4 linked regions of the Arabidopsis thaliana genome follow. The protein of the gene in region 4 interacts with the protein of the main gene of each other region in a biochemical or structural test. Each region holds a gene or a part of one and is shown on either strand. Other genes may lie near its edges. The genes, in order: CPK32, CDPK9, CPK4 and ABF4.

Region 1 (8,409 bases), about 15 Mb from region 4:
AACCAATCAGGTGGTCATCGTGACGTCATACGTGATGAAAGAAACGAGCTGACTAGGATCGGCGAAAACGATGACGTTGGTGATCATGGTCAGGTGCCTGAGGAGGATTCAAATCCATGGGCGATTGTACCGGACGATTACAACAACCGGGACGGTTCAGAGAATAATATTGTGTTGGCGTCATCAGGTGGTCAGAACCGGATGGTGACGACTGCTTCGGTGCAGAGGGTGAAGAGAGAAGAGGTGGAAGCAAAGATAACGGCGTGGCAAACGGCGAAGGTGGCTAAGATTAATAATAGGTTTAAGAGACAAGACGCCGTTATTAACGGTTGGTTGAATGAGCAGGTTCATAGAGCTAACTCTTGGATGAAGAAAATCGAGGTGACTCATTTTTTTCTATTTTACGAATATCTTAGTTAGATCCGATCGATTAAGAGAACAAGATGACTTATAACATGCTTTTCTTGAAACTGTTTGCTTTTACATGTATAACAAAATAATTTAGAAAAACTATGTAACGTTTTCAAATTGCAAACGATAAACGTGGACAAGCGTTTTTTACAAATTATAAAATGCATATTTTATCCAACCAAAAAAAAAAAATCAAAATGTAAGAATTATGGGTTTATTTGAAAAAAAAGCAGAAACACAAATAAACGATAGATCCTTGAATGGTGGTGATATATCAAATATTTGAAATGTGATAAAGCTATCCAAAAGACTGACTAAATAGACGTCGATGTTGTCTTTGGAATAATAGATTATGCGATTGATACATATATGTGGATGCAGAGGAAACTGGAAGATAGGAGAGCGAAGGCGATGGAGAAAACACAAAACAAAGTGGCAAAAGCTCAGAGGAAGGCGGAGGAGAGGAGAGCCACGGCGGAAGGTAAACGAGGGACGGAGGTTGCGAGGGTTCTTGAAGTTGCTAATCTCATGAGAGCCGTTGGACGACCTCCGGCCAAACGATCATTCTTCTCTCTTTCCTAGCTAAGCTATTACTAGTTTTAGTTACATCCAAATGTCTCAATATATATAGGCTACCATTTTCTGTTGGGAATCAATGTGTATATAACTATATATAGAATGTAAGAGTTTTAAAGGTACTGATATATTTTGTAATTGTATGCTTTTTTCTTTGTCTGCACCACATAAAAACTAATAAAATGTTATTTGTAAGCCAAGAAAATTGTTTACATGTATTGTTTTGTCATTCCATCTGCTGAGACTGATACGACTAAAGAGTTAAAGAAAAGAAAAAAAAGGTTCAAGCTCTTACTTAGTTTCCAGCTCTGTTCATTTAATTACTCTCTCTACCTTGGCCTGTCACTCATGTGTTTAAGAGCTTTAACAAAAATGTAATTTAAGACGCCACAATTTACTAATTCAGGCTGCAAAGCTCGAAACCCTACGTATTTCAGGAATGGAATTTCGAACCCACTAAAATCTTGCTCAGACGAGTCTAAAACCTTTTTGCATACAACTTGTATGTATTTCTTACCACACTCTTACGGTGAACAAAACATAGACCTTATACACACAAGTGCAAGAAAGAGAGAAGTAAAGAGATTTTGAGATGGGCTGATTAAGAAAGGCTTATTTTCGGTTTTTGCTTCTGCCATAATGGGCCTACATACCCTTTTTTTTTTTTGGTAGAAATCTACATACCCTTTCTTTGTTAACTCTCCTATTTATTTGTCCATCAATATCATAGATATATTTTGTTTTGGTCGTTTTAACAAACAAGACTCAGTCTTTGGTAAATGATCAAATACTAAAGAAAATAGAGTGTACTGTATAAAACCCCTCATTTCTTGCCTAATTATATATTGCACTTAACTCTCTTTTTTAGTAACGGTAATCTAAGTAAACAAATTACAAATTGAATCATTGACTTGGTAGGAGTAAGACAAACACTCGTGTAAGGAAAGGAATGTCCATCAGGAGCTTTGATATTAATTTAGAGGCATTTGATAAAGTATCTTACCACATTCATACTCCGTTGACTTTGCTAATTATTTTATATATAAACTAACTCTAAAGTAAAATTTTAAGTATTTATGTTACTTTTAAATACAGGTTTCGACCCAATTGCACATATATCTGTAATCTGAACAATTATTAAATTAGTTGACAAAAAAATAAAAATAAATTTATTTCTATATCAGTTAAATTTTGATAAATCAAAATGCGTTTATCGATTTGTTGGTAGAAGTTTTATAGTGCAAAACCAAAATCATCAACTTGACAGAAAAAGCAAATAACTTTGAGTAATTACATATGTTGGTTGTTTTGTATCGAAGTCAAAAAAATTAGTTAGTTGGGTCCGACGAAAGTGATTAAAAAGAGTCAAAATCGCCGTGTTTGACCTTTTAATTATAAAAAAAAAACAGAACATAAAATAAAGGTGGCCGCTTATTTATGAACCCAAACACGAGCGTATTTACGGTTTCACCCTTAACTTTTTTTTATTTCCAAGGCGCTTAGTTTAAGAACGTGTCACAGACTCCGCTTTCTGTTTAATCCATGAGGTAAAATTCCTGAAACACCCCTGTCTTCGTAATTATTTGTATGATTCATTTCACAGATATATATTTATTTGGTGCTAGAATTTTGTTAGACATTCTATAAAAATAAAGAGTTTTCTAAAATTAAAATGAACAAAAATATTCTAAAAATAAAAAAAATTCTGCAGGAGTTTGAAAAAAAACAATTGGTGGACATTTAACTATTTAAGCCTTAATTTTTTTTGTCGGCATTTAAGCCTTAACTTAAGATCACATATATTCACCAAAAATAATTAAAATCACATATAGGGGTAATATTGTCAATAGTAATTTGGTAAAGCTGAAGGCATTTTGATTTCACATTAGAGTAATGTAATAGTAAGAAACATTCTTTGAAAATTAAAAATTTAAAGTGAAAAAAAGAAACAGACAAAAAAAGAAAAAAAAACAATCATAGAGCAGCTGGAGAAGAAGGGAGGGAAGAAGATTCTCTTGACCTTCCTTCCATCATCATCTCTCTCTCTCTCTCTGTAATTAATTTTTCGCAATTTTAATTTTCGAACAAATGATTTGACGTTCTTCTTGGTATTCACGCGTTGAAAATTTCCACCCTTTCATATATTGTTCTTCACCTCCTTCGTTTTTTTCTCATCCATCTCTTCCAGAATTCTCTTAAAGTTTCCTACTTTCCTGGAATTTCGTCCTCAATCTCTCAAGTTTCATCGGTTTTGATTTGGGTTTGATCGGAAAAGTCATGGGTAATTGTTGCGGAACAGCAGGATCATTGGCTCAAAACGATAACAAACCCAAAAAAGGAAGGAAGAAGCAAAACCCTTTCTCGATTGATTACGGTCTTCACCACGGTGGTGGAGATGGAGGTGGAAGACCTCTTAAGCTTATCGTTTTGAATGATCCAACAGGTCGTGAGATCGAGTCTAAATACACGTTGGGGAGAGAGCTAGGTCGTGGAGAATTCGGTGTTACGTATCTATGTACTGATAAGGAGACAGACGACGTTTTTGCTTGTAAATCGATTTTGAAGAAGAAGCTGAGGACAGCTGTTGATATTGAAGATGTTAGGAGAGAGGTTGAGATTATGAGGCATATGCCTGAGCATCCTAATGTTGTTACTTTGAAGGAGACTTATGAGGATGAGCATGCTGTTCATTTGGTTATGGAGCTTTGTGAAGGTGGTGAATTGTTTGATAGGATTGTTGCTAGAGGGCATTATACTGAGAGAGCTGCTGCTGCTGTCACTAAGACCATCATGGAAGTTGTTCAGGTTCGTCAAGGTTTTTTTGCTGTTTATTGTATCTCTTTAGTCTTTACTTGTTGCAGAATTGCAATGGCCTCGTATAATGTCTTGGTTTGTTACTGGTTTCAGTTTCTTGGACATTATTGACTTGTAGCATTGCTTTAAAGGGCTCAATTTGCTGCAGAAAGATTCAAAATTCGTTTCTTTTCATGTAAATTGAAAGTCTTGTGGAGTGATTTTAGATGTGAGATTAATGAGTGTGTTCTTGCAGGTGTGTCATAAGCATGGGGTAATGCACAGGGACCTGAAACCTGAGAACTTCTTGTTTGGAAACAAGAAGGAGACTGCACCTCTTAAGGCGATTGATTTTGGTCTCTCTGTTTTCTTTAAACCAGGTAATGTGGTCTTTCTGCTCAGTAGATAGCTGATTGCTTTGTGGTTTGTCAATAATCTTAACCCACACCGTTATTTTCTTTGCAGGCGAGAGGTTTAACGAAATCGTTGGTAGTCCGTACTACATGGCTCCCGAGGTGCTAAAACGGAATTATGGTCCAGAAGTTGATATTTGGAGTGCAGGTGTAATTCTTTACATACTGCTATGTGGTGTCCCGCCTTTCTGGGCAGGTTAGTTTTGTCAGTCTATGTTTCCTTCTTCTTGGGCCGTCTGTAGCACATGTTGTCTTCAGGGGTAGTATATGAAGAAGTGATCATAAGAATAATGAACCTGGTCTTCTGTTTTTTTCTATACCATTTTCAGAAACTGAACAAGGAGTTGCACAAGCAATTATTCGATCTGTACTAGACTTCAGAAGGGACCCATGGCCCAAGGTTTCTGAAAACGCAAAAGACCTTATCAGGAAAATGCTTGATCCTGACCAAAAGCGTCGTCTTACAGCTCAACAAGTCCTAGGTACAGATTTATATGATGCAATTTGCTTATATGGAATCTGAGACAGACAAAGAGTATTAATCGGTCTTTGCTTCATTTTCCTCAGATCACCCGTGGTTACAGAATGCAAAGACAGCCCCCAATGTATCATTGGGTGAAACAGTGAGGGCAAGGTTGAAGCAGTTCACCGTCATGAACAAGCTCAAGAAACGAGCACTCAGGGTAAAATACATATTACTTATAAACTATCCGAAAATGTATATCTCTTCTGATCTAAAAAGCCTAACAATAGTTTCGTTTGGTCTTGTTACGTTATCTCGATAGGTTATTGCTGAGCATTTATCAGATGAAGAAGCTTCAGGTATAAGAGAAGGGTTCCAAATAATGGACACAAGCCAAAGAGGGAAGATTAACATCGACGAGCTTAAAATCGGGTTGCAGAAACTTGGTCATGCCATTCCGCAAGATGATTTACAAATTTTGATGGATGCTGTGAGCTTTGATTTACCATTACTTTTCAATACCAGTTTTTGTGTGATTTGAATGCAGTTAACTGAGCTCTGGATGGTTTTCTTCTACTTTGCAGGGAGACATCGATAGAGATGGATATTTGGACTGTGACGAGTTTATTGCCATATCGGTACACCTAAGGAAAATGGGCAATGACGAGCATCTCAAGAAAGCGTTTGCGTTCTTTGATCAAAACAATAACGGATATATCGAAATAGAGGAGTTAAGGGAAGCCTTGTCTGACGAACTTGGTACAAGTGAAGAAGTTGTTGATGCCATTATCCGTGATGTTGACACCGACAAGGTTGGTTAACTTCACCATTTCACTCTCGTTTTCTTGTTGAAAAAAATCCCATCTCATAGAGAACTAACCATCATGAAAATTGTTTTTTTTGTAGGATGGAAGAATAAGTTACGAAGAGTTTGTAACGATGATGAAAACAGGAACAGATTGGAGAAAAGCTTCGAGACAGTACTCGAGAGAACGGTTTAACAGTATCAGTCTCAAACTGATGCAAGATGCGTCGTTGCAGGTCAATGGTGATACAAGATGAGAGAGGCTTAATCTGTGTCACTCACCAGTCTGGAAGATTGAATCAAAGGGATGCAAATCTTTCTTAATTTCTTAATTTTTATCTTCTTGGGTTGCTTTTTTTTTATGACACCACGATTAAAGCTTTTTAGGCATATAAAGTTGTAAGAGTTGTGTGTTTGATATCCTGGCTAATGAGCGAGCTGAGTATGGGGATCAAGAGAGAAAAACCGTGTTGGCCTTTGGCTGTGTGTAGATATTTTGTATAATCTTGTGTTGATAAAAGATAATATCATCAATTTTTCTTGTGATCAATCTGTAATTTTCTATAACCATTCAAGAATTATATGAGTTATGGATTTTGACAATGAGAGCTTGCTTTACAGATAAACTTACACGAGCTTATATCGAATATAGGCATTTTAAATTTAATAATTTCAAAAGAGGTATGTTGCACAGTTGAATGGGCCGCTTATTGTCTGATTTCGGACGATTTTAACCTTCTGGAGTAAGTGAGAAATTGATATTCCATTTTTGCAAGTGGTAGGATGATGTGAAAATAGGTGAAGAAGTGAAAACGATATACCCTAGAATTGGACTTGTAAACCCAAACCGTTTAGTTGACAGTCTGCGATGCATACACAGATACAACGACACAACACTACAACATTAATTAGACTTTCTCGGCTTGAGAAGATGAGGCCAATGAAATGATATTAGAGATGACTTTTCACAAGAAATAAGTACATGTTTTCGTGAAGACATATGAGAAATGTCTTAATAAATAAATTCTTAAGACAAATGCCTATTTTGTAATTAACTCAATTTACACAAAGCCAGATGTACAAATAAAATCAGAAACTAAAGTCCCATTTCGTTTTGTCCTGGTGGTCGACTTTGTCTTTGTGGTCACAGTTTTGTTTTCAAAACTGTACAATGTTTTAAATAAGTATATAACGGAAACTATATTGGCCATAAACTTTTATCAATCCCATATAGCTATAGTAGTCGAGAAGAAGGAAAATTCAGACAAAAATATAATAAACGTCGTTATTGGCTTATCGCAGCATCAAATCTAAACAAGTGGACTAAATATTTGTGTCCTCTATATTATTGTCATCAAGCATAAGACACCAGTCATTTGAATATTTGATCAACAGCCTTATAAAAAATAAAAATTTACAATCATATCTACTCGATGAGTTTGCAACTGTTCATGATATTGATATCCTACAAATCTGATACCCACACAATGTAGATAAAAATAGCATCACTGAACATCTGTTAAGTATTATAATCACAAACATACAAGTGAAAAGCAATTTAACTCAAATCATTGCTTTTTGGTACGTCTAATAAATATCCACCTCGTAGTAGTCTCATCGACACGGGAGACTTACGTGGCTATTTTTGTATTGTTGCCAAATTTTATTGAAAATCAAACAAATCAATCATGCAAAAGGCGTGAGGTTGAACGGTACACGAAGGATACACATGTCCGATGTCGACCTTGTAGTAAATAACAATATGATTTGGAAGGACACTATACATGATTACAGAGTTAACATTATAGTAATCACCGTAATTTATCATTGATTAATCGTCGTATTAAAGTTATATACATAGAGCCAACAAAATTTATAATCGTATCACACACCTAATGATAAAAGTCCAAAGTGAAAAAGGAATCTAGACAAGGACATGGTGAACTGATCAATGCTAATTAAGGAGATACTTTAGATCTTTTAACATTTGATTAAACAGAGCTGACGTGGATGAGACCCACTTGCGCCGTTTCATTACAAAAATTCACCTACGTACGTACTTTTTCTTTCGTTTTTCTTTAATAACTATTTTGGGGGTTAAATGCAATTATTAGGAATGACTGAATAAGAGGACATCATTAAAGAGCTTGATTGTTTTTTCTTTTTTTTCGTTTTATCTGAATCAATAATGAAAAAGAACCAAGTGTTCGAAATGCAAAAACCAACAAAGGAAAACGATAAAAGATAATCCGTAAAATAAGTAATGAGTCGATATATACCAAACTCTATCTTCATAATCCGTACCGATCGACGGACCTACGTACAGTATATATTAGGTTCGATTTAAAACATTATCGTACCATGCATTATTATTTATTAGTGTGTCGTTCCACGAATTATCCACAACAGGAAGTAGCTTTTAGTACGAAAGAGCAGCCAAGTGAATTAACCCGGCTCAAACCGGTCGTCGAGTGTTGACCACACACGTGGTTCCAGATAAGCGGATAAGGATCGTGACATCAAGTGTGAGTATGTGTTACGGTCCGTATCTTAGCGACGTTGTTATGGTTTGCTCCGCAGAGGAGTCAAACTAAAACACAACTTGCATAATACTTTCTCAATTAAAGTAAAGTAATAAACATGTGTCTGTTTATATCGTGTGTTTATAGTATTGGGCGGCTTCGATAGTCGTTTTGTTGAAAAGTTTATATATATTTTGAAGACGGTTCTAAGTACTATGAACCATACATTTTAATGGAATTGCTTCGGTCCTCGGTCCATATATACAATATCTTCCCGAATTTATCAATTTGGTTTTTACAACATATTTCATAATTATCCGGCATAATTACATTATGCATGTAAAGTTTTTATAAGATGTAATAGCGCATATAGAAGAAAAACGACTTGTTCTTTTTTGATAGAGAAAAAAGAAAAAACGATTAAGT
Region 2 (7,390 bases), on a different chromosome or scaffold from region 4:
ATCTGCTTTCACTTTCATGACAGCTATTCACAGAATGGTGTACCACCAAACATTGCTCCTCGTATCCTTCAATTTCTTTTGACGAAAGTATGAACTGTTTATTAATTATTTGGTTTCTTACACAACTCTCTCTGTGTATGCTTTCTATAACATTTGAAGGCACTATCCATGTGACTGCTGCATGCCTTTTTTAGCATAAGCTGGATTAAACTTCTTTTTTAAAAAGGTTGGATCATAAGTTCTTGGGTCCTCGAATGGTCAAAAGTTGTGTCACGTCTCTTATTTTGGTTTTCATTTTGGCATTGTGATTGTCTACTTGCCCAATTTGTTATATGTTGGTACTTAACTTTAGATTTGCAGACTTACTGGTAGAACCGACCACAGGAAATTACTATCCTACAATTTACTTCAATGAGTTTTGGCTGCTAAGGGACAAGTTCATTCCAGTCAATGAGACAGTCTCAGAACTACCACTAAATCTGGAAATAAGTCCCATAAGCATGATGAAGTGGCAACTGTTTCAGCAAGTTGATCAATCTTTCCAGATGCAGCGTAGCTATGGAAGCATGCTTGACGGTGAATCTGACGAACTAAAGGTAATTCTGGTTATTTATAGTCAATCACCATCTTCTATCCATGAACTTATGATTTGCTATTAACTTTTGAAACTAGTTGGTGGAGAGACACTATTGATTATTTTCTTTACATATCTCTTGGTTTCTCCCTGGAGCTGTTTGTAAATATTATTTTGTTGTGTAATTTATTTATTACAGAAGGTGTTTTTGGAAGGAAATCCCTATCTTTTGGGGATCACGATGTTTGTTTCGATGCTTCATTCAGTGTTCGACTTCCTGGCATTCAAAAATGGTAAGTAAGACCGAAATCTTTCCTAACAATTGTAGGAATGATTGTTGAAATTTTACTAATTTTTGGCCTACCCTGCAGATATCCAATTCTGGAACAAAAATAAATCTATGGAAGGGCTGTCTGCAAAGTCTGTTGTACTGAACTTTATCTGTCAGTTTGTCATCTTCCTCTACTTGCTTGACAACGACACTTCATGGATGATACTGGCTAGTTCCGGAGTCGGTGTCTGCATTGAGTTCTGGAAAATAGGGAAAGCCATGCGCATAGAGGTACTTATAAGTTCTTATATATACATTTCTAATGTTGTTGCTTTGCATGTAGACCTCAGTAAACATTTAAACTTAACAGGTTGATCGAAGTGGAATGATTCCAAGGTTGAGGTTCCATGATCGTGAATCGTATGCAAGCAATAAAACCAAGGAGTATGATGACATTGCCATCAAATTCTTATCCTATGTGCTCCTCCTCCTTGTCATTGGCTTGTCCATATATTCTCTCGCTTATGAACGCCACAAGAGCTGGTATTCTTGGATACTATCTTCACTAACAAGCTGTGTCTACATGTTCGGTAATAGCCTTCACCATCCTTAAAATAACTGTTGAGAATCTCTCTTGTGAAGCTGTTTTGAGTTTGGGGTTTGTTTTGTGCAGGTTTCATCATGATGTGTCCTCAGCTATTCATCAACTACAAGCTTAAATCAGTGGCACATTTACCATGGAGACAGATGACTTACAAGTTCCTCAACACCATTATCGACGATCTCTTTGCCTTTGTCATCAAAATGCCGATTTTACATCGACTTTCTGTATTCAGAGATGGTGAGTAAAATCTATCAAATTCCTCTCTATTTCGATTCAGATTTTCAGAAACAGTCTTATTTAATGGATCTCTCTCTCTGTGTTTCAGATGTGATATTCTTGATATACTTATACCAAAGGTGGGTTTACCCAGTGGATAAGACACGTGTGAACGAGTTCGGTTTTGGAGGTGAGGATGAAACTGCAGAGAAGAAGTTGATCACTGAGAAAGAAGAAGAAGACAAGAAAACAAACTAATCTCTTCTCTTCTTCAAATTTTATTACAGTTCAGTTATAGTGTCTTAATTTATTTTTGTTCTCACTTTTGGAAATTGTTTTGTTCAAGTTTAATGTCAACCCTCAAGACACATTATTAAGCAACTCCTTTGGTTTTTTGTGAAAAAGGAAAAAAACAACATTTTCTCTAAAGCTCTGAGATATGGTAAAATCCATGGGAAAATTCTACAAATTGTTGAGAGCTTACAATTTCAATTACTAAGAGTTGTTAAAAGCAGAATTAGAGTAAGCAGAAACAGCAAGTTGTATCATATGACATGTTTTGCTCCATAAAGTCGCTAAATTATTTTCACTAAAAATGAGTACTTCAGACATTCATAGACTCATCAGGAAGAGTAGTTCCAAAGTTGAGAGAGTTCCTCATAGTTCTCCGACCAATCCCTCCTCCAGTGCCATTTCCTTTCCTCATCATTGCCACAAATTCTCCATAGTCTATTTGTCCATCCTACAAAAAAAAAGCAACCACCATAAACATTTCTTCCAAGCTCTTCATCAAACAAACAGTAAAGATCATTTGTGTACTACTCACATTATCTTGATCAATGTCTTTGATCATTTCATCAAGATTAGAATCGTTTATACCAAACTCCTTCCATGCCTGTTGAAGCTCTTCGATAGTGATGTAACCACTTGCATCCTTATCAAAGAAAGAGAATGCAGCTACTAGATTCTCCTCTCTCTCCAGCTTGTTCAAGTGGATTGTTGCAGCTAAGAACTCTCCATAGTCAATTGTTCCACTCTCATCAACATCAGCCTAACACACACACACACAATGAGAAGATGATATTACTTCCAGCCACAACAAAGATGTTAAAAGTGAAAGTTGATAATAAAGGAGTAGTAGCTAGTTTACCGCACGCAAGAGTTCTTGGATCTCTGATTCCATAAGCTCTGACCCAACACGTCTCATACTATCTTTTAACTCTTCAAACGTGATAGTCCCACTTTTATCTGTGTCTATCATTTTGAACAGTTCTTTGAGACCACCGATTTCTTCCTCAGATAGTCTCTCTGCAATAACTCGTAAAGCCATCTTCTTAAGTTTGTTCATTGCAGAGAACTTCTTCAGGCGGGACACTACCGCGCAGTCCAAAGGTTTATCTGGAGCAACCTTATCATCCACAATCCACGGATGACCTGACACAAGAACATATGAATCAGCTTACAAGAAAAAAAAACTCATCAACTTTCGCAGACATGACAACTTACACAACACTTGATGAGCAGTTAGCCTCTTTTTAGGATTGCTTTCAAGCATTTTCTTTATAAGATCTTTGGCACTCTCTGAAATGCTAGGCCAAGGATTGATCTCAAACTCCAACTTTCCCTGTAAAATCTTCCTGAAGATGCCTATTTCACTCTCTGGATACAGAATAAGACACCGAGAGAGAGTAAGCACTTGGTGGAAACAATGCATTTATAAAGAAAGAAGGCATTGGAAATATACCAGCCCAAAAAGGAGGAAAACCACATAAGAGAATGTAGAGGATAACTCCAGCACTCCATACGTCACATTCAGGACCATAATGCTTATGTAAAACCTCAGGTGCCACATAGTAAGCACTACCAACGAGTTCCGAAAATGCTTCTCCTGAAAGACAAAGATTTGTGTGTCCAAAACAAGAGCTCCTTATCAAACTAATTCAGCTAAACCACACACAGTCACTGCATTTGAAAGATGGGATCTTAAGCAAGGGGTCAATGTGCTCTTTTAAAGTACTACTAATAGACAAACTGACTCATCAAGTAACGAAATTGATACTCATAAACATCCCCAACACAGTCACGGAACAAAATTAGAGAAGAACAAGAACAAATTCACACCTGGTGTGCAGAAAACAGAGAGGCCAAAGTCAGTAGATTTAAGAGAAGCATCTTCATCAGAAGAAGAAAACAAGAAATTCTCAGGCTTAAGATCTCTATGAACAACACCAAGAGAGTGACACGCCTCAACAACCCCAACAATGGTCTTGATAAGCTTAGCAGCTTCTCTTTCACTGTAATGACCTCTCTTCACAATTCTATCAAACAACTCACCTCCTTCACAAAGCTCCATCACAAGATGCACGTTTTTGGTGTCCTCGTACGCACTCTCTATACGGACAACGTTGGGGTATTCAGACAAGTGATGCATTATCTGGATCTCTCTCAGAACGTCGTCGTAATCTTCTTGACAAAGGAGCTTCCTTTTGGGTATGGATTTGCAGGCAAGCTTTTGACCTGTCTGTTTATGGGTACAGAGGAAAGTGGTTCCGAATTGGCCTTGTCCAAGGACTTGACCAAGAAAGTAATTGTCTTCAACGTTTTTGGTCTTGTAAGGAAGAACCCATCTGGTTCTTGGTTTGTTCGCCATTCTTGAGAGCTTTTTTTTATTTCTTTGAGGGTTTCGTTTAAGCAGAGGAAGAAGAAGAGAAACTGTTGAATGAGGAAAGAAACTGACTTGGAGAAGGCATTGAAGAGAGAGAGAGAGAGAGAGAGAGAGAGAGGGAAGTCAAGAGTTAGGAGAGAAATAAAACCAAGTTTTGGACAATGATTGATTAGCTAATAATAGCTTTCCATTTCAGATTTTTTGTCCACATCAAATGAAAAAATGGGAAGTAAAACAAATTCCATGAATGCTTTTAACTGAATGAAGGAAAAAAATTCATTGATAGTTGAATTATTAATTAGTTGATATTTTTATATTTTCTAAATATATAAATTTGGTCAAATACTCAAATATATTAATCAGGTAATATACTACCAGAGTCCAAATTTTTATTTTTATTTTTAACTTTATTAAAGTTAAATAAATTTAATTGTTTAATAAGGCACAATGCATTCAAAATGTACAATATTGCCTCTTTTAACTTTTAAGAAATAAAATTATATGATATCTAATAGTATAGACTAATTAAAGAAGTAGTTGTAGCGATAGTGTTAATTAATTTAATACTTTATTGCATACTTTTTGCAAAAAAAAACAATGTAATTTACAACTTAAAACTGCAATAAAAAGGAAAAAAAAAAAGTTAATTGAGTTTTTATGAATAAAATTTTCTACTTAATGAAGATATGTATCTACACTACGTACAGTACTTAGGGCACTAAATAAAGGCAAAAACGTCTCCTTCGCTTACATACGAAGAAACTGTAGCTCGTTTTAAATTATAGCCTTTTTTTCCTAAACCTAAATTACTTTTATTCAAGAAACTATTTTTGTCACATGTATTTTCTGCTAATATGATGAAGACATCGAATCATTTTAGAAAAGAAAATTAAAAGGAAAATTTCATTCTCTTTCATACGCATTCTAGTTTGTGTCTTTGCCTCCTCTCGTTTGGTTTCTAACTTTCTGTCAGTGTCCACTTTATTTATTTAGTAACCATCAACCCTGTGCTTAATTACATTTTAAATCCATATATCTTCTAAACATCACATTTTTATACTATTGTAGTGATTGAATTATCAAATAAATGAGATATTTGGTGAAATCATGGACAAACACATGAAATCTACAACAGAATTCCAAATGAAACTAGATAAAGGAATATTATACAAATCCAAAATTTTCTTCAAAACAAAAACTTGTTTGAAAAAGACTTCCGGTACAAATTGAAAGCTCTCCTGAAGATGATACGAAGCATTTTTTTTTTCGAGAAGAGTTAGAATTTTAAATTCTACAACAACAACTGATATGAGATTGGATGTACACAAACAATGTATAAGGAGCTTAATTCTTAATCATGAAGCAGAGCTTTATTCTTTATCACTTTGGTCTTGAAGGAGCTTTGTTCTTGATCATGTGGCTTAAACCCCTCGCTTTTTCTGGTCCATAGCCGCCTGTTGAAGAGAGTAAAATATGAGAGTTCTTGAGAAAAAAAAACACAAACGAATGAATCAGCAAGAACCTGAGGAGCGTAGAAAAATACCTGTAGCAGTCTTTGCATGACGGCATCTTCATAAGCTTGAAGACCGGCACCTACTATGTTACTCTGCGGTTCTGCTTCTGCAGATTTCTTAGCCGTCAGAAAATCAGTTTGGGCTGCTTTCTGAAGAGGTACAACCAACAATGGATTAGAAAGATTGCCACACAATGTCCTCGTCGCTGCAACCTATAAGACAAAAAACAAATTGAATCAATTTAACTTCTTGATGTATAAAGAAAAAGAGAGAAACCAACTTAGTAAAATAGTACTCACAGCTCCATCCTTTGTAGCCATTACAATAAGAGCAGAACATTTCTTCTTGGTACTCCTAATAACAACATCTTCAACCTCACCAAACTCAGAAAACACTTCTCTTAGCCTTCCAGCTGTATACCCTTCACCACTTTTTTCCCAAGAAACCTTCAACATTCTCTCTTTATCGAGTTGAACACTAGCTCCAGCACCACTTCTTTCTTCTTTTCTCTTTTCATCTACATTACTCTCTGGAGTTTGGAAACCACTTTTCTTCTTCGCATGTCTTGCACGTATCCTATCTATCTCCTCCTTAAGCTTCCTAGCGATTCTCTCTTCTTCATCATAAGCTCTAGCGGAAGGATTAGGAGAAAAAGCAGAACGCTCCCTTTCCTCCAGATCTGACATCATCTTACGCCTCTTGGAATCTACTTGCGATTTCTTATGTTGTTTCTCACGCTGGATTCTAAGAAGATCATCAAACAGCTTCCGGGCTTTCTCGTCTTTGAGAACCTCGTAAGATGTCTTAAGCCTCTGAAATTTCTCATGGGCATCAGGATCATCAGGGCGTTTATCAGGATGCAAGTCCAAAGCTTTCAACTTGTATGCTTTTGCAATCTCCTTCTCGGTAAGCTTCAGAGCTTCCTCTCCAGAAGCTAAACCTAGAACAATGTAGTGATCGACAAAACCCTCCATTTCTTTCTTCTTCTAAACCAAATCACCCTACTGCAGCAAAACCAAGAAGAAGTTAGTACTCTAAAAAGCTTTAGCAAATTCGAAAACACAGAAACAGATAAATGCTTCACAAATCCAACTGTACAATAACAGATAATTCAAGTGACACACAAACTTGGCAACATATAATATCGGCTTCAGAATAACAGAATGAACATAGTAACCATAAAAAGCAATTCATGGTCTCACTTGCTATTAACCCTAGCCATCAAACAGGGAATTCACAAAGAGAAAACTTTTGACACAGTTGATAGGAACCCTTGATTTGGTTAAGCAATTTCAGAGCAATTAGTTCAAAAAGTTAAACCCCATCAAAACATCAACGACAACAATTCAATTAAACCTAGAACTCCGAATATCATATACAAAGCTTCGTTCTTTTACTTAAAAATCAATAACGAGTCACAGAAATCACAATTATCAAATTTCATAACGTACCTTTCCGATTCCTACCCTCGAATTCTATCGGGATCACACCCAAAACAATACAATTCAGATGTCAAAACTCTTCGGTGGATTAAAGTGAAATCCCG
Region 3 (8,143 bases), on a different chromosome or scaffold from region 4:
TTGGGTGAGTAAATATTGAAGAATAACTTACAAATTGATTCTATCAATCACAAATCGCAAACCTGAATGCTTTCGGTTGAACAAATCTCGTGCAGTTACTAGTGTTCCTCCTCTACCAAAATGACCAAGATGATATAGCATCCTACGATATGAACTAAGAAACCCAGTCTTGGTGGGATATCCGAAATCAACAAGATAGTACTTCCCACTAGGCGGATGTGGGAAAAAGGTTCATTCCTCGCACAATGATTCAAAACTTTTGTATCATGTGCTCTACAAGATATACTGACATATGCATATATGAATTTCATATCGAAGTTACATATAGCAAGAACATTCATTATATGTTCTATCTTTCTATATTTATATTTTTCTACAGATTGACTTAGACGGCGAACCGGGACATAAGTTCCATCAAGTGCTCCAACACAATCTCTAAAAACAGGCCAATATCAATCATCATTCTTCTAAACAGGGTTTACTCTCGTAAATTCACCTTCTTGTGGCTTTAGTGTATCCACTACAAACTTTAAAAGAGCACTCAAAACATCATCAATCTTTTTTTTTTTTACCGTATTCAATGACCGTTGATATCTTGTAACTATATCTCAAACAGTTTTATCCTGACCAACCACCTCGAAAAGTATTAGTGATTTCTACCTATATAGTGAAGAAGACCGTAAGTATTAGTTCCAAACATTTAGACCCATTATATAGAAACAGACATAGAATTTGGAAATTTTGAATAAACCGATCAAGCTGAGAGTAACTAAGAGAACACAAATAAATAAGAAACTCAAAATATTTAAGAGATTTCAGTCAGTGAATAACGAAAGTACCTCGGAGTAGAGATTCAACGTTGTATTAGAAGTAACCAACGACGGGAGATCTAGTTGAGCTCAAGTCACCGGATAATATTTCGCAAGATTGCGGCGGCGGAGAGAGATTGGTTTCAAAGAGTTTGAGATCGATGAGTGTAAGAGAGAAATGATGAAAAAGAAGTAGAAGAAATAGAGTTAGGTTTGTTTGTAGTTTCTCAAACATAATAAGGGTATAATTGTCATTTATCATATATAATACAACTTTTAAGCGTTGACCGCAGCATTATGCCGCACTTACTTGCATCTGCCGCTGTTGCAGCAACCTAGATAATCAAACGAACATCTTATTAAAAAAAAACAGAAGCTGAAAGCCCAAGCTTATTTAAAGATGGGCCAATAGGGGCCTGCATAAAGTTCCAATTTTATTTAGAAAATATCTATTTAACATCATTTATGAATAAAGTGTCCTCCGATGCTATTTGGGTTTGGTTAAAGATGGATTTTGGAGGTTTTCCAAATGATGTCAGATTTTGAAGATGAACAATGAAATAAATATATCTAAAGCTTATACATCTAGGTCTCTTACCCAACGGCGATGAAATAAAGAATACATGTACTAAAACGACGCATGCAAAATAATACCTGAAATTTTCTTTCTACGTTGGAACTCATTGCAAAAGATGAGGAATATTGCATAGCCATGGATTGGATAGAGCCATAAAGAATCGGTACACATTGCTTTTCATATTTTAATATCGTTAAGGCGTAATGTAATAAGTATTAGAAATGGATTTTTAAAAGTATTTAGATAGTTCGGGTTTAAATTTTATTTTATTGCTGATTGGACTTTGTTTTACAATTATAGAGAAATAATTTTGTGTTAAATTATAGTATTATACGACATTCACACAATTACATTTACATTAACATGTACCACGTCTATTTTATAATATTGCTCCAAAACGAAAGAGTGGTCTTCACGACGAGCGAGGTTTAAAATTTGTAGTCGTGCATTGCAAAAAGCTGCGAAAACCGTGTGAACTCTCAACCAAACCAAATATGATATGAAGAAATTGGTTCTTGTCCATTCGGTGGTTAGTGTGCATGCATGTCGGTGAATTTTATATGTTTTCCATTTACGACCTTTTCTCTTTATATCATATAGATTTTTAGGGGAAAAAAAAATCATATAGATTTTTAAAAAATCATGTTCCCAATTAAGACATAATGTTTAGTAGCCAAATTGAGAACCAACCTTTTTTCTGTTTATTAAATAATTTAAGTGGATGGATTTTACACATATATTTTAATGTCTTACATAAATAAAATATCATGTTATTTTTTTTGATAATATCATGTTTTATTGATAAAATCCATACATACTTGATACTTGCAAAAAATATCATGCACAAATTTATCTCTATAAATGGTTATCTACCTTTTTTTTTTTTTTTTTTTTGAACACAATTTACCTAATAATCTTAATAAATATAAGAGAAATGTAACGCATACTTTTGTTGGACATTGTTTTTGGTCGAGTCTGATTGGTTTTTTGTTCAGATCTATCGGATTTATGTATTTAAGATCTAATAAACAAATTATAAAAAATTTGATTCGATTTGGTTATCGATTTTATTAATAATGTTAATATAATCCGACTTACTTTGGTTAGAAAAATTAATTCAAAAGTAACAACAAAAAAAAATTGGATAACAAAACCATCTAAAATCCTGCTAATTAATTCACATCTAATAACCGAATCCGAACCTAAATGACCAAACCATTTGTGTAAAAATCTCAAGCCTAGTCCCTATATTTCAATAGATTTTTTTCTTTTTTTTTTGGTCAAGATCAATAGATTTTTTTCATCAATTCAATTTATTGCAAATTTGCAATAATAGTTGGTAAATACTATAAATGTAAATGGTCACGGGATAACAAAAGAGCAATAATAATATAATAATTGCATAAGACGAGTCAACATGACCAAGAAACATTGAAGGGTTCGTAACTTCGTATCATCTTCCTCCTCCTCCTTTGATAAACACCAAAAAAAGGCAGAGACTTTCGAAATCAAGAACAATGGAGAAACCAAACCCTAGAAGACCCTCAAACAGTGTTCTTCCATACGAAACACCAAGATTAAGAGATCACTATCTCCTCGGCAAAAAGCTAGGCCAAGGCCAATTTGGAACAACCTATCTCTGTACAGAGAAATCATCATCAGCTAATTACGCTTGCAAATCAATCCCAAAACGTAAGCTTGTATGTCGTGAAGACTACGAAGATGTATGGCGTGAGATTCAGATCATGCATCATCTCTCTGAGCATCCTAATGTTGTTAGAATCAAGGGTACTTATGAAGACTCTGTTTTTGTTCACATTGTTATGGAAGTTTGTGAAGGTGGTGAGCTTTTTGATCGGATTGTTTCTAAAGGGTGTTTTAGTGAACGTGAAGCTGCTAAGTTGATTAAGACTATTCTTGGTGTTGTTGAGGCTTGTCATTCTCTTGGTGTTATGCATAGAGATCTTAAGCCTGAGAATTTCTTGTTTGATAGTCCCAGTGATGATGCTAAGCTTAAAGCTACAGACTTTGGTTTGTCTGTCTTCTACAAGCCAGGTTCGTTGTTGATTCTTCTCTTTTGATTGGAATCTTATGGTTTTTGTCTTTGTTGGTTGGTTCAAGGAAATGTTTTGATTTGGTTTCTTGATTCGGATTTGCTGCTTGAGCATTGTTAGGGAAAGATTGAATTTTGTTATATCTGGTTTTGACATTTAGTTGATATATATGGATGTGTTGATTGTGCAAGGTTTTGTTATATATGTAACATATGCTTATGGTTATGAAGCGATCTTATCAGATTTTATTCGATTCATTGTCTAGATTATGTTGAGAAATGTCTTGTTTGGTGTTGAAAATCGGTTTCATGATATGTTATCTGTAGAATCATTTGTTGAATGGTCATTTCCAATTTGCTGCTTGAGCATTGTTAGAGAACCAATAATTTTCTGTGGCTAGATCTTTCTGAATCTTTTCTTGCAAGATTTACATAGTTTTGTTGTGTTACTTATGCTTATGTAATGATGCTATCAGAGCTACATTGTGTCCGACTAATTTCAGTGCTTAACAAAATTTTCAATTGTGTGGGTTTGCATCTTCAGGGCAGTATCTGTATGATGTAGTTGGAAGTCCGTATTATGTTGCACCTGAGGTTCTGAAGAAATGTTATGGACCAGAGATAGACGTGTGGAGCGCCGGTGTTATCTTGTACATCTTACTAAGTGGGGTTCCTCCTTTTTGGGCAGGTAAGTTTGTGAAAGCTAGTACCGTTGTTACTACTGAATCAAGTATATTGCTTATGTGATTTAAGCATCCATGAGTAATTTGTTTGCAGAAACCGAGTCAGGAATCTTTAGGCAGATATTGCAAGGGAAGATAGATTTTAAATCTGATCCGTGGCCTACTATCTCAGAAGGTGCTAAAGATTTGATTTACAAAATGCTCGATAGGAGCCCCAAGAAACGTATTTCTGCACATGAAGCATTGTGTAAGTTGTTACTTATGATTGTTTTCCTCTCTGCTACATGTATTTTGTTGTTCATTTCTGTAAGATATAAGAATTGAGTTTTCCTCTGATGATATTATTAGGTCACCCTTGGATTGTTGATGAACATGCTGCACCAGACAAGCCTCTCGACCCAGCAGTCTTGTCGCGACTTAAGCAGTTCTCGCAAATGAATAAAATCAAGAAAATGGCCTTACGAGTAAGAAAGTTGTAGCCCTTTAGTCTCCACTCTCATTGCTTATTTTCAAGAACTGATTTCCCTGTTAGGAAGATCGACTAAGATAACACATTTTAAGAACTATTTTCAGGAAATGAATAAACTTAAGTAAATGGCCTTATAAGTTGGAAAGCTATAGTTCTTTAAACTCTCAATGCCATTGCTTATATTCAAGAACTGATTTCCCGGTTTAGGTAATCGCGGAGAGACTCTCGGAGGAAGAGATTGGTGGTCTGAAGGAATTGTTCAAAATGATAGATACAGACAACAGTGGAACAATCACCTTTGAAGAGCTTAAAGCAGGTCTAAAGAGAGTTGGATCTGAATTGATGGAATCAGAAATCAAGTCTCTTATGGATGCGGTAATTATACCAAAACAAAAACTCTCTTTTAGAATATTGATTTCTCCGTTCTTCTAGGAATCACAAAGCTTAAATGGTGTTTTGCAGGCGGATATAGACAACAGTGGGACAATAGACTACGGTGAATTCCTAGCAGCGACATTACATATAAACAAGATGGAGAGAGAAGAGAACTTGGTGGTTGCGTTTTCATACTTTGATAAAGATGGTAGCGGTTATATCACCATTGACGAGCTTCAACAAGCCTGCACAGAGTTTGGTCTCTGTGACACTCCTCTTGATGACATGATCAAAGAGATTGATCTTGATAATGTAAGAAGCCTTCATGATCTGTTTCCTTTGTCTTGTTTCTTAGTGAGTTTGGTTTAAAACTGATGATGAAAATATGTGGTTTTGTTAGGACGGGAAGATTGATTTCTCAGAGTTTACTGCTATGATGAAGAAAGGAGATGGTGTTGGGAGGAGCAGAACTATGAGGAACAACTTGAACTTCAATATAGCTGAAGCTTTTGGAGTTGAGGACACAAGCAGCACTGCTAAATCTGATGATTCACCAAAGTAATTATAATCATCTATATACTTGGAATTGAGAAATGAGAACTCACAAAAGAAAAACTGAATCTTTCCTTTTTGTTTTCGTTTCCACTTTTGTAGATGAGCAACTTTCTCAATTTTGTTATAAGCATGGATAATTTTGCTTCATATTTTCTGCGTATAGAACCATTATATGATCAGAATCACCCATATTTGGTCAAAGCAATGTCTTCAAGCATTTACATAATCATGTTTGTTATACATAAGCCAATAGGCTGCAGAGTCAGATCTCTGAATCAAGTATTCAATATACAAAGCCAATCATGATTCAGTAAACTAGCTACACAAACACTTACTACTACAAGGGGGTAAGAGAAGCTCTCAAATCGAAGACAATAAACAAATCAAAGCCAGAGTTAGCGATTTTAAGCTCCGCGATGTTGCAGAAACAATCTTCTTCTTTTATCTTGAGCTCATAAACACCTTTGAAATGCTGCCATGCGACTGAAAGGTGCTGCTCATCAATATCTATATAAATGATTATACTCTTCAGTCTTCGACTCTTCATTCATATACTCTCTTTCTCTTTAGAAGGGCAGGGAATATGGAGATGGATCCAATGAGGAACAGCACTGACAAGGTCTTGAAATCATACAAATCCTTTACTGATCTGAGATCTCCAAGAGCCAAACCAGCCTGTGTAAATGAAAGTAAATGTTAGCCTCTTAAACACGAAAGAACAGCGGAATGAGATTGAACAATAGACTCACTCTAACTGTGATGTACGAAGCTGGCATAAGACCGACTAGAGTCGCCAAAAAGAAGACGTGAAAGGGTATGTCAACGATTGGAGAAGACAAATTGATAAAGAGGTTTGGAAGTGTTGGTGTTATCCTTAAGAACAGCATGTAGTTTAGCAGCCTATCTCTTCTTTTCGCAATCTGACCCATTGAAGATTTCAAGACATTAATGCTTTCAGAACAAGAGACATTACTAAATACTAATCAAACACAAAAGAACTTACCTCAGCTTGGAAAAACCTCAACTTTTCAGGCCATAACCAGTTAACCAATGGCCTACCGACCAATTTCGATAAGAAGAAGCAAGAACATGCTCCAGCAGTTGCATTAAGGACAACAAGAACAAAACCTCTAACCACACCGAAAAGAGCTCCAGCAAGCAATGACATAAAGATCGTTCCAGGTATCATAAATGTCTGCATAAAGATATACGTCGAACAGTAACCTAAAATGAACCGTGCTTGGTACTCACTTGCATAAGACCCAAGATTCTCTCTGCACATATTCATCATATCAATATATCATCATCATATAGTAAGTCCAAGCATATCACATTCAACTGAAAACGCAACTTTCAAATCAAGTCTTAATGCTAATGCATGTACTTATTTTGAAATTCAAGTAACACTACTAAAAGCTAAACACTTTCAGTTTCTACATTTGCATAAATTCAATTCTCAATCTATAATACCAAACAACAAGCTAATCACATACAAACAAACTGAGAATGCTGATTCTAGAATCATGTCTTTAAGCTAATTTTCTGCTCTCTAAAGTCTAAACCAATTTATCGGAATCTTCGAAAGATTCAAACTTTCAATATGGGTTTTTGAATTAGAATTCAGATTCAACAGATCACTATTAAAAAGCTAAACACTTTCAATTCCTACATTAGCTTAAACTCAATTTTTTCAATCAATAGAACAAACGAACAAGCTTATCACAAACAGAAAATTTTCCATCAATTTTCCGAAAGATTTGAACTTTCAATTTGGGTTTAAGATTTAAGAGATAACTACTCAAAGCTAAACACTTTCAATTGTAAAAGAAGAAGCTTTTAATCTCACTTGAGCAATCGAAGATCGGAGATAGTTCTAGGAACTTTGAGCTTGCCGTATTCAGCGGCAGGCATGGTGAGGTAAATACAAAAGAGTCCGGTGGTGAAAACGAGAAAGACGGTGAAAAACACGGCGAATTCCCACCGTGAGAGAGGAAATCTCTCCGATTTGGTTCGTTTACCAGTCGGTGAGTCATCGTTTAAGAGTCCTTTAGCTGCCGATGAAGCTGCGGGGCTTTCTTCGTCTTTTACTAGCTGTCTTGCTCCACCGTCACCTGTTAAATTCCGAGGAGCCGCCATTACTGTGTCTGTAATGCTTTCTCAAGAAAACCCAATTTTGAAGGAAACTGAAGAACTTAACATTTGTTGGATATGTGCAATTTCAGACGCAAAGACTTGATATTTAATAATATTTATAATTTAATTGGAAATGGGTTTTGCTGATGCACAGAATTTTGCGTTTGCGGATAGTATCAGGGTTTGATTGGTTTTCCCTCTGCCGCCCGCAAACGCTGCGTTTGTGGGTGGTAGCGGTTATTAGCGGTTGCCATCAATCATAGAAATTGCTAGATACCGTTTTGGACCGCTTGAAATTGCCAGATTTCAAAAGCTCCTTACCGCAAGCGTTTGCGTTTGTGGGCGGTAGCGGTTAGGTTAAAAAAAATTAATTAATTAATTAAAATAATTATGTCTTCCACCCAAACCCTATACTTATTCTTATCAGAAAACCCTAATCAATGAAACCCTATTCTCTCAATTATGGCATTCACCCAAACTGACGAAAAT
Region 4 (8,314 bases):
CTGTTTACAAAGCTGAGTTCAGTAATGGGTTGGTTGCAGCTGTAAAAAAGATGAACAAGAGCTCTGAACAAGCTGAAGATGAATTTTGCAGAGAGATAGAGCTTCTCGCCAGGCTGCATCACCGCCACCTAGTTGCTTTGAAAGGGTTTTGTAATAAGAAGAACGAGAGGTGAATGATTACGGTTGACCTTCATTTCGTTTCTCCCCATTTGTGTGGATTGCCCTTTGCTCATCTAACCTGAGAATTACAGGTTCCTTGTCTACGAGTATATGGAAAATGGGAGCCTGAAGGATCATCTACACTGTATGCTCATGATTTTCAGATTGCATTCCTCTGTTTTAGACTTGACTAAGAATCTTGAACGTTGTTATTCCTCTCTGCAGCCACGGAAAAATCTCCACTAAGTTGGGAATCAAGGATGAAAATCGCAATTGATGTGGCTAATGCTCTGGTAAATTTCCATAAAACTGATACTCTAGTCTATGGTTTATATTATTATTACTGTTCTTAGTTCTTAACTGGATATGCTTCCTTTCCTGCAGGAATACCTTCACTTCTACTGTGACCCTCCCCTCTGTCACAGAGACATTAAGTCAAGCAATATATTACTCGACGAGCACTTTGTTGCTAAGGTGCGTCTGCATCCTTTCACATCAACTGGTCACTGACTTATCAATTCGTTTTACCTCTTAAAGAATTGACCTGTGGGTGTGGGGTTATGTGGTGCAGCTTGCAGATTTTGGCCTTGCACATGCTTCTAGAGATGGCTCCATTTGTTTTGAACCTGTTAATACTGATATCCGCGGAACTCCAGGTCAGGATACTAAGGAATTAACTACTCTTGAAATATTGAGCAAAATCTAAAACCATGAAATCTGAATTTCAGGCTATGTAGATCCAGAGTACGTTGTAACACATGAACTAACAGAGAAAAGCGACGTGTACAGCTACGGAGTGGTGTTGCTAGAGATCATAACTGGGAAAAGAGCGGTTGATGAAGGTAGGAACCTGGTAGAACTGTCTCAGCCTTTGCTGGTATCAGAATCAAGACGCATAGATCTGGTGGATCCGAGAATCAAAGACTGCATAGATGGAGAACAGCTTGAAACAGTAGTGGCAGTTGTAAGATGGTGCACAGAGAAAGAAGGCGTGGCTAGGCCATCAATCAAGCAAGTTCTGAGGCTGTTGTACGAAAGCTGTGATCCGTTGCATCTCGGGCTTGCAATGGCAGTTGAAGAGAACAAAGGACGGTCACTGAGAGGTGACTCAGGGTTCCAAAGTGGAGACATCCGTGGCTTGGCTTCTTCCTCTAGTACTACTTCAAGGTCGCATTGTAGCCGGAGTTTTCTGCTTGAGACTGGCTCCCCTCACTCTCCACCAAATGGTCTCTCTTTTTGAGTGAGCAGAGACAAATTAGTCACATTTTTTCTAGAAATTTGTCACTTAGGATCATCCTAACTGTTTTCTAATTGCAGTTTTGAAAGATGACATATGTTTTCCAACCAGAGTCAAGAATGATTTCGTTGCCACTCTTAAGTAATAATGGCTAAACCCAAGTTAATGACACAAGAGAACCAAATCCGGAATACAAAGTCAGACATATATATAAACAACTATGTCTTTTAGAAACCCTAACAACCAGAAAGCACAATAAGTCAATAACAGAGGATAATCTAAACCTAAACTAACAAAGGTCAGGGCACAAAATGTCATTTATTCATAATGAAAACTCTCTCCTACTCTGTAACCTAGATCTTTCACTCAATTTCTCTTAATCTCCTGTACAGGTAGCACTATCCTATTACATTAATCCCAAGCTAGGAGTCTGGTTCATCCGTTCTTGTTGCTTCATCCTTCACCATGGTCCGGTTAATGTCCTTCTCAAGCATTGCCTTTTGCTGCCCCACGGTCGCTTCGACGTTTCTTTCAGCTGCTAATTTTGAAAAGAATACTAGTGAACAACACAATCAAAAAGGCTATTCAAAACGAAGCAAGACCACGAAATGTTCGAAAGCTATCTCAGGTTTGAGCTTCAGTTGGGGACATACTTGATAAGGACCAACATACACTATCAGAGCTACAACTTAAGTTTAGTCTTTTGCTGCTGATGTTGGTCCTAATCAAGTATGGTCAAGGGTTTCAGAATGAACTCAATGAAAAGAAAAGTTCTTAAACAATTACCTCATTCTTCTGCATTTCCACCATTTCAGCCTGCAATACAGGGGAAGCTAGGATCAGAGCCAAGTTCTAAAAGTCTGATAGGGGAAAACAGAAAACACACAGAGAGGTTGTAAACAGAAAGAAACCTGTTTTTTCTGCAGTTCTTGATTCGTTTTCTTGAGCTTTTCAATTTCGGCTTCCAGTTCCAATGTATAAGCCTGTAATTAGTGGATAGTTAAAAAACATGGAAGATAAAGCATCTTTCATAATACAAGAAGTGGTTCGGGATAGAAGATATCTTTGCTGGTTTTATGTTTCTGTTTAATGCAGTCTTGCAAAATATAAGACCATAATAGTCAAACCAAACAAAAGGGACTAGATAAGTTTAGTTAGATTTATATTCACCTGCTTTCGAGCTCTTGATCTAGCAGCTGATTCCCGATTCTTGATCATTCTCCTTTGCCTCCTCTCGATAACCTTCTCTAGACCTGTATTGCTTCTTCGTCCTCGATTAAGCACATACGGAACTGGTGATAAAGAATTATTTTCTGCGCTGCTTGTTCCTGGAGAAGTTGCTGCAACAGTGACCCCGGTTCCTCCGTAACTAGCTAATCCATTATTATTGTTGATAGAATTATTTGCAGCCCCAGCAAAACCCTTGTTGGTTATATTCACAGGCGCAGAAAATGCTACGTTTGCTTGTTTAGGAAAAATGGTTTGAGGCAGCCGCTGCTGTGGATGAGGCTGATTCAGCTGCTGCATCTGCTGTTGTTGCTGCTGAAGCAACTGCTGTTGTTGTTGTTGCTGCTGCATTGTTCCACCCATTTTGAGCCCTAAACCAGGTGGCTGATTCAAGATCATAGAATCATTAGTACCATTGAATGTTATGCTGTTTTGATTTGGCTGACCAAATCCAAAACCTAAGCCGCCAGCAGCAGTGCTGTTACCATAAAACCCATTGTTATTGTTTCCGTTGACCTGACCCATCTGTTGAACACAGTTATCTTCTCTTACAACCCCAGCACGGAACAGAAATTCTTCAAGTGTCATTTCCCCTAAAGTCTGTTGCCTTCCAGGAGGCACATTCGACTCACCACCGCCTCCGCTGCTACCTTCCATATTACCATCCTTGGTGATCAAACATTTCCACACCTCATCAACAGTCTTCTGACTAATTGTTCTAGGCAACGTCAACGAACCTTGCCTCTGGAGATTCCCACCTGGGGGTGGGATACCAGCACCAGGTTGCGCTACCGCTGTAGCAGCTGGCGCAGAAGTCATGGCCATGGCCTGAGCTTCCTCAGCAGTCCATATGCTCTTCAGGAGTTCATCCATGTTCATCGACCCGAAATCTTTTCCCGGTCCACCTAGTGTGTTCTGTAACTCATCAAAGGTAAGGGAGTAGACCGAGGACTGCCTAGCCAAGGGCATGACACTACCCGTTGGCTTCATCTGGTTACTACTCCCTTCCCCTCCAGGATGACCACCACCTCCTAAGTTGTTGAAATTGATGTGAGTTCCCATAATCCTTGTATACACTCCTTCTACTTCTTTTTCAATGAAAACAAAGCATCCAAGCCCTAAAACCCTTGTTCTAAAATCAAAGTAAAGCAGTTAGAGTGTATATTACATAATGCTAAGAATCCATGAAAAAGAGAACTTCCGAGGAAAATAAAAAGGAGTGAACTATGTGTCACTAATGCATGTTCACATCCATATAAGAGAAAGAATACTAAAGTGAAACTGGACAAACCACATAAATGCGTGCGAACAAATGTAAAAGCACAGTAAAGTCAATCAATAAAGGTCAGATCTTTGGATAATGTTTATAAAAAAACGTAATTTGATGACTTTTTTTGATGGAAAACGAATTCACACCAGATACAGAGTTTACTCATAAAACCAAAAACGAGAAAATCAGCAAAACCCAACAAGCATGAGAAGGATCTATTCCAGATTCCACAACCCATTTCTCTTAAAAAAAACCCGATCGAATCAAATAGACAAAACCCTAATAGCAACAAGAATCAAATCGATAAATTTATAACAAATATCTCGTAAAAATTCTCTCTTTAACTCTAATTTGATAACCAAAAGTTACTTCAGTTACAACATGTACATCATCATGATTCATAAACGAAACAGAGGAAAGACAACAAAAAAATTGGATGATCCGACAAAGACAGATCCAGAAGTCAGAAAACGGATAATAAAAGAGAAAGGAGCTCGAAAATATGTTTTACCAAATTAATTTCTTCAAAACAAGATTCGTGACTGCGAAAACTCCAGAGAAGCTACAGGGAGAGACGACAAGTGTGTTGCTGCCGCCTCGACACGAGCAGCCATTTTAAGGCCCTGAAACCTTTTTTTTTGTTCTTCAGATATTATTTTTTTGTGAATAATTATCTGTTAACAGTATTAATTTAAAAAGAAACGTGGACGAATGAGAAAAAAGAGTTTAATGTTTTAAGTGCTTGTAAAGACTTACATCCAATTAAGAATGCGACGTGGTAAAACATTGGCCGTTTGTTTCCGACAGTGAAGATTCGAGTGGTTGGAGATCGTGCTTGGAATTGTTTTCTCATTGGAGTTAAATCATAATAATGATTATTCTTTGTTTTTAGGTCAATTTTTTAAAAATATATTACTTCTTATGTTCTTTTAGTTTTCTTATTTTAGATGTATATCAAAAATTCAAATTGATCTTCAAATTGACATATGCCACAATTGTAATCTTCAACAATATTGTGATATATTATAAAATCTTTAATTTGTAAAAAAAAAGAAATCAAAATCTAGATTTGTCTCTTTCCAAAATGGTTGACGATAAGGATGATTCATTTTTCAACATCCAAACCAATTTCATACATAGATAAGACTAAATATAATTATATACATGTCCATATTAGCCAAGAAATACTACCTATATAAAAAAAAATCTTTATTGGTAACTTTTTTTTTTCAATTATGACATAGATCATAGATATTTGTTTGTCATTTTTACAGTTCAAAAGCCTTTTAATCATTTGATATCATCAGTATTGTTTAGACACTAAATAGATTGAATATATAACAAAAACTATAAACTAGATGTTATAAAAAAAAAGTAGGAAAAAAAGCAAATAAGCAAACATTGTAATAATACCAAATGAGGAATGAAACCAAATTTCTGTATTTGGAAGTAATGATCTTAGACTCCACGCGACAGTGTTCTTTACTCCTACCAAAAAAAAAGAAAAAACTATAAACTATGAATAAAATATGACCAAAACATGTAGTTAATTGGGTTGTGCTATTTTTATCATTATGTTATCACCCGAAATTTGAATATATGTTATGGTTGTGTGACTTTTATGTTAAAAGTGTTCCCTCATCAGATAGAAGAAGTGGTGGTGCTTGCTTTCTTTTTGGGAGCCCATTTTGGTTGCAAGCCAATAAGAATATCACACCGCTCTTCGAAACAAAACAATAAAGAACACAGTCGCGTGGAGTCTAAGATCATTACTTCCAAATACAGAAATATGTTTTCATTCCTCTTTTGGTATTATTGCAATGTTTGCTTATTTGCTTTTTGTTTTTCTATTTTATATTCAAAGAAATATCCACTTTTGCCACGTTAGGCCGACGTATAGAGTGAGCATAAAACCATAATAGATCCCATATATGACTATGAGTTTATGTAATCATCACTTATATGTATATTTATACACGTACACACGATTGTCATTTAGGTTTAATTTCAACCTTGATGCTACAGAGTTCGACCAAGATTCAAGGGACGACTATGGAGATGTAGTTGTATTTGCTAATTCATAATTAGGCTTTGTTTCCTTTTTATCAAAAAAAAACTAATCTAAAAAGACTCGAGTGATGTGAGAAGTAGAGTTCATCTCCATCAACGCTTGACCTCTTTTTACAAATCCATACAAATCACCAAGACTATAGTAAACTATAAATATCAATGGAGCAATATTTTTTTAGCAAAAAGTAAGATTCAAACATAAAATAGAGAATAGAAAAAATGTTTAATAATTGTCCTAATTAACTAATAGATTTGTAGTCATTCTATTTTTTTATGATTGAGATCTTAGTTTGTATTAATATTTCAGATCCCAAATGATCGCATGTGGTTGTGCTTGTATATATTCAATGATTGAAGGGTTGGTGAGGGCATTTGTGACTAGGGCCTCTAGCCACAAAATATAATCAAGAAAATGTGTTAAAAAAGGACGAATCGTTGAAGCATCAACATTTGTTTTGTTAAGATTATTTGTTGTTGTTTTTATCTATAATTATTTTTTCTTGTTACAGGGTATTCTACTAAAATGCAAAGAGATTACATGGCTATGACTTCAAGGGTCAGAGATGGAGAAAAGTAGTTTGAAAGAGTAGTGTAAACACACGATTTGCTAGTTTTAGAGAACATCGAAAACAAGATATTACGGTGAAGCTAGAGAAGAAAAAGTTCACAAGAAAAACCCTAGTTATGTCATGTGTGGTCCTCCACCACCACGTCTTCTACTACCACGGTTTCCCGGACATGAATCCATTGTTCTAGCTTGGACCTTTTGCGTTGGCTTTATTTGCCTTTTTCCTCTGATTCTTTGAGCTACATATCATTCAGATCCAAAGTCTGAAAGGATTTTGTTTGAAAGGACGACTTTGTTTATCTTTAGTTTCCATATTGATTATGTACTTTGAAATTTGAACGTTAGTTACATCACTATATTTTATATTATTCAATTAATACAATGTCATTTTTGTATTTTCAAGTTTTAATTAACTACTATTTATATCTATCGTTAGCTTTGCATTTTGATGTATTAGTTTTGTCTCATAATAGTGTGATATCAATTTGTCGATAAATTTTTAAAAATAAATGTTGTGATGAATAGTGTTGGCTTATTGCTATAACTAGAGTAATAATAGTCATCATCATTCTTTTTTTTTTAAAATATATGAAATCATTCTATTTTGGAGTTGTCATTAGAAAATTCTAAGAGGAGGCAAAAATTACATGTATATGCTCATCCATGACGATCTATACATTTCTCTTCCTTAGTTCCTTCTATAGAATTTAAGGATATAAGATTGTGAATAAGAACTCAAAATATAAAAGAATAACTCTCTTTTATTAACTTAGGAAAATACCTTAAAACCTAAGCTCTCAAACTCTCAATGCTTAAACACAATGAGTTATGCCACAACTTAGCATCTCCTTATATAAGAATCTCATAAACCAAATCCAAAACCTATTAGGACTATTATTTAGATAACTACCAAATAATCTTTAGATAACTCCTAATATAATTCTAGATAACTCCTAGAATTATTAATCCTAATCTCTTAATGACTTATAGCTTAAGTCATCTTCAAGCTTATTCCAACACCTTCTCCTTGTGATAAGTAAAATTCTCTCATTTAGGATTTTGTCTTAGAGATTTGAAGTGTTTAAATGTTTTAATCCGAGCCTAATGATGAAAGAGACATATATGTTAATGTATTTTTTTAGTTCATGTTTCAGTGAGTTTCCTAATGAAATGAAATAAAATAAGAACTAAAGGTAGAAAATCTGCCAATTTTTCCTCTTTCTCATCAATCAAAGTATCAAACGATAAAAACCCAAATCACAATTCTTAAAATCCATTCATTATTGATAAAAAATCGTCGCTTTGATAATGGGTGTTTTCTCCAATCTTCGAGGTCCTAAAATTGGATTGACCCATGAAGAATTGCCTGTAGTAGCCAATGGCTCTACTTCTTCTTCTTCGTCTCCTTCCTCTTTCAAGCGTAAAGTCTCGACCTTTTTGCCAATCTGCGTGGCTCTTGTCGTCATTATCGAGATCGGGTTCCTCTGTCGGCTCGATAACGCTTCTTTGGTCGATACGTTAACCCATTTTTTCACCAAGTCGTCGTCCGATTTGAAAGTTGGGTCAGGAATAGAGAAATGCCAGGAGTGGTTAGAGAGAGTGGATTCAGTTACTTATTCTAGAGATTTCACTAAAGATCCGATTTTTATCTCTGGTAGTAACAAGGTGTGTAGCAGAATCATTTGTCTATCATCAAATTATGTATATCTAATTTCTCTGTGTGATATTTTCTGAGCTAGACTTTGGTAGCAAGTCAAGGGGATCAAAATTTAGGCTTGCTTGT

Evidence for each region.
Region 1: the proteins of ABF4 (region 4) and CPK32 form a complex in vitro, tested with the Arabidopsis thaliana proteins (one study listed by BioGRID).
Region 2: of the proteins of ABF4 (region 4) and CDPK9, one has a biochemical effect on the other in vitro, tested with the Arabidopsis thaliana proteins (one study listed by BioGRID).
Region 3: of the proteins of ABF4 (region 4) and CPK4, one has a biochemical effect on the other in vitro, tested with the Arabidopsis thaliana proteins (one study listed by BioGRID).

The regions. Positions count from the first base shown.
Region 1 is NC_003074.8:21,294,207-21,302,615, reverse strand, and holds CPK32 (calcium-dependent protein kinase 32), read left to right. Parts: upstream 1-2,911; 5' UTR 2,912-3,264; coding exon 3,265-3,792; intron 3,793-4,036; coding exon 4,037-4,160; intron 4,161-4,245; coding exon 4,246-4,389; intron 4,390-4,522; coding exon 4,523-4,675; intron 4,676-4,760; coding exon 4,761-4,876; intron 4,877-4,978; coding exon 4,979-5,146; coding exon of another isoform or gene 5,147-5,197; exon of another isoform or gene 5,198-5,240; coding exon 5,241-5,468; intron 5,469-5,562; coding exon 5,563-5,718; 3' UTR 5,719-6,159; downstream 6,160-8,409. Other genes in the region: AT3G57540 (Remorin family protein), read left to right, coding at 1-381, 793-993. UniProt on the Arabidopsis thaliana protein: May play a role in signal transduction pathways that involve calcium as a second messenger. Involved in maintaining Ca2+ homeostasis in pollen tube tips by regulating CNGC18. Functions as regulator of the calcium-mediated abscisic acid (ABA) signaling pathway.
Region 2 is NC_003076.8:7,948,119-7,955,508, forward strand, and holds CDPK9 (calmodulin-like domain protein kinase 9), read right to left. Parts: upstream 4,502-7,390; 5' UTR 4,316-4,501; coding exon 3,787-4,315; intron 3,554-3,786; coding exon 3,410-3,553; intron 3,325-3,409; coding exon 3,172-3,324; intron 3,100-3,171; coding exon 2,816-3,099; intron 2,717-2,815; coding exon 2,492-2,716; intron 2,408-2,491; coding exon 2,270-2,407; 3' UTR 2,084-2,269; downstream 1-2,083. Other genes in the region: AT5G23575 (Transmembrane CLPTM1 family protein), read left to right, coding at 24-61, 361-596, 774-867, 946-1,136, 1,216-1,435, 1,519-1,686, 1,775-1,923; AT5G23590 (DNAJ heat shock N-terminal domain-containing protein), read right to left, coding at 5,752-5,784, 5,874-6,056, 6,144-6,818. UniProt on the Arabidopsis thaliana protein: May play a role in signal transduction pathways that involve calcium as a second messenger.
Region 3 is NC_003075.7:6,046,657-6,054,799, forward strand, and holds CPK4 (calcium-dependent protein kinase 4), read left to right. Parts: upstream 1-2,784; 5' UTR 2,785-2,903; coding exon 2,904-3,441; intron 3,442-3,983; coding exon 3,984-4,127; intron 4,128-4,216; coding exon 4,217-4,369; intron 4,370-4,470; coding exon 4,471-4,586; intron 4,587-4,798; coding exon 4,799-4,966; intron 4,967-5,053; coding exon 5,054-5,278; intron 5,279-5,366; coding exon 5,367-5,528; 3' UTR 5,529-5,724; downstream 5,725-8,143. Other genes in the region: AT4G09580 (SNARE associated Golgi protein family), read right to left, coding at 6,065-6,196, 6,271-6,441, 6,525-6,795, 7,368-7,657. UniProt on the Arabidopsis thaliana protein: May play a role in signal transduction pathways that involve calcium as a second messenger. Functions as a regulator of the calcium-mediated abscisic acid (ABA) signaling pathway. Phosphorylates ABA-responsive transcription factors ABF1 and ABF4 in vitro.
Region 4 is NC_003074.8:6,683,327-6,691,640, reverse strand, and holds ABF4 (ABRE binding factor 4), read right to left. Parts: upstream 4,600-8,314; 5' UTR 4,405-4,599; exon of another isoform or gene 3,756-4,404; 5' UTR 3,686-3,755; coding exon 2,567-3,685; intron 2,479-2,566; coding exon of another isoform or gene 2,434-2,478; intron 2,380-2,433; coding exon 2,308-2,379; intron 2,213-2,307; coding exon 2,183-2,212; coding exon of another isoform or gene 2,171-2,182; exon of another isoform or gene 1,935-2,170; coding exon 1,857-1,934; 3' UTR 1,518-1,856; downstream 1-1,517. Other genes in the region: AT3G19300 (Protein kinase superfamily protein), read left to right, coding at 1-169, 252-304, 385-452, 544-633, 731-815, 888-1,399; FUT11 (fucosyltransferase 11), read left to right, coding at 7,840-8,196. UniProt on the Arabidopsis thaliana protein: Functions as a transcriptional activator in the ABA-inducible expression of LTI65/RD29B (AC Q04980). Binds specifically to the ABA-responsive element (ABRE) of the LTI65/RD29B (AC Q04980) gene promoter.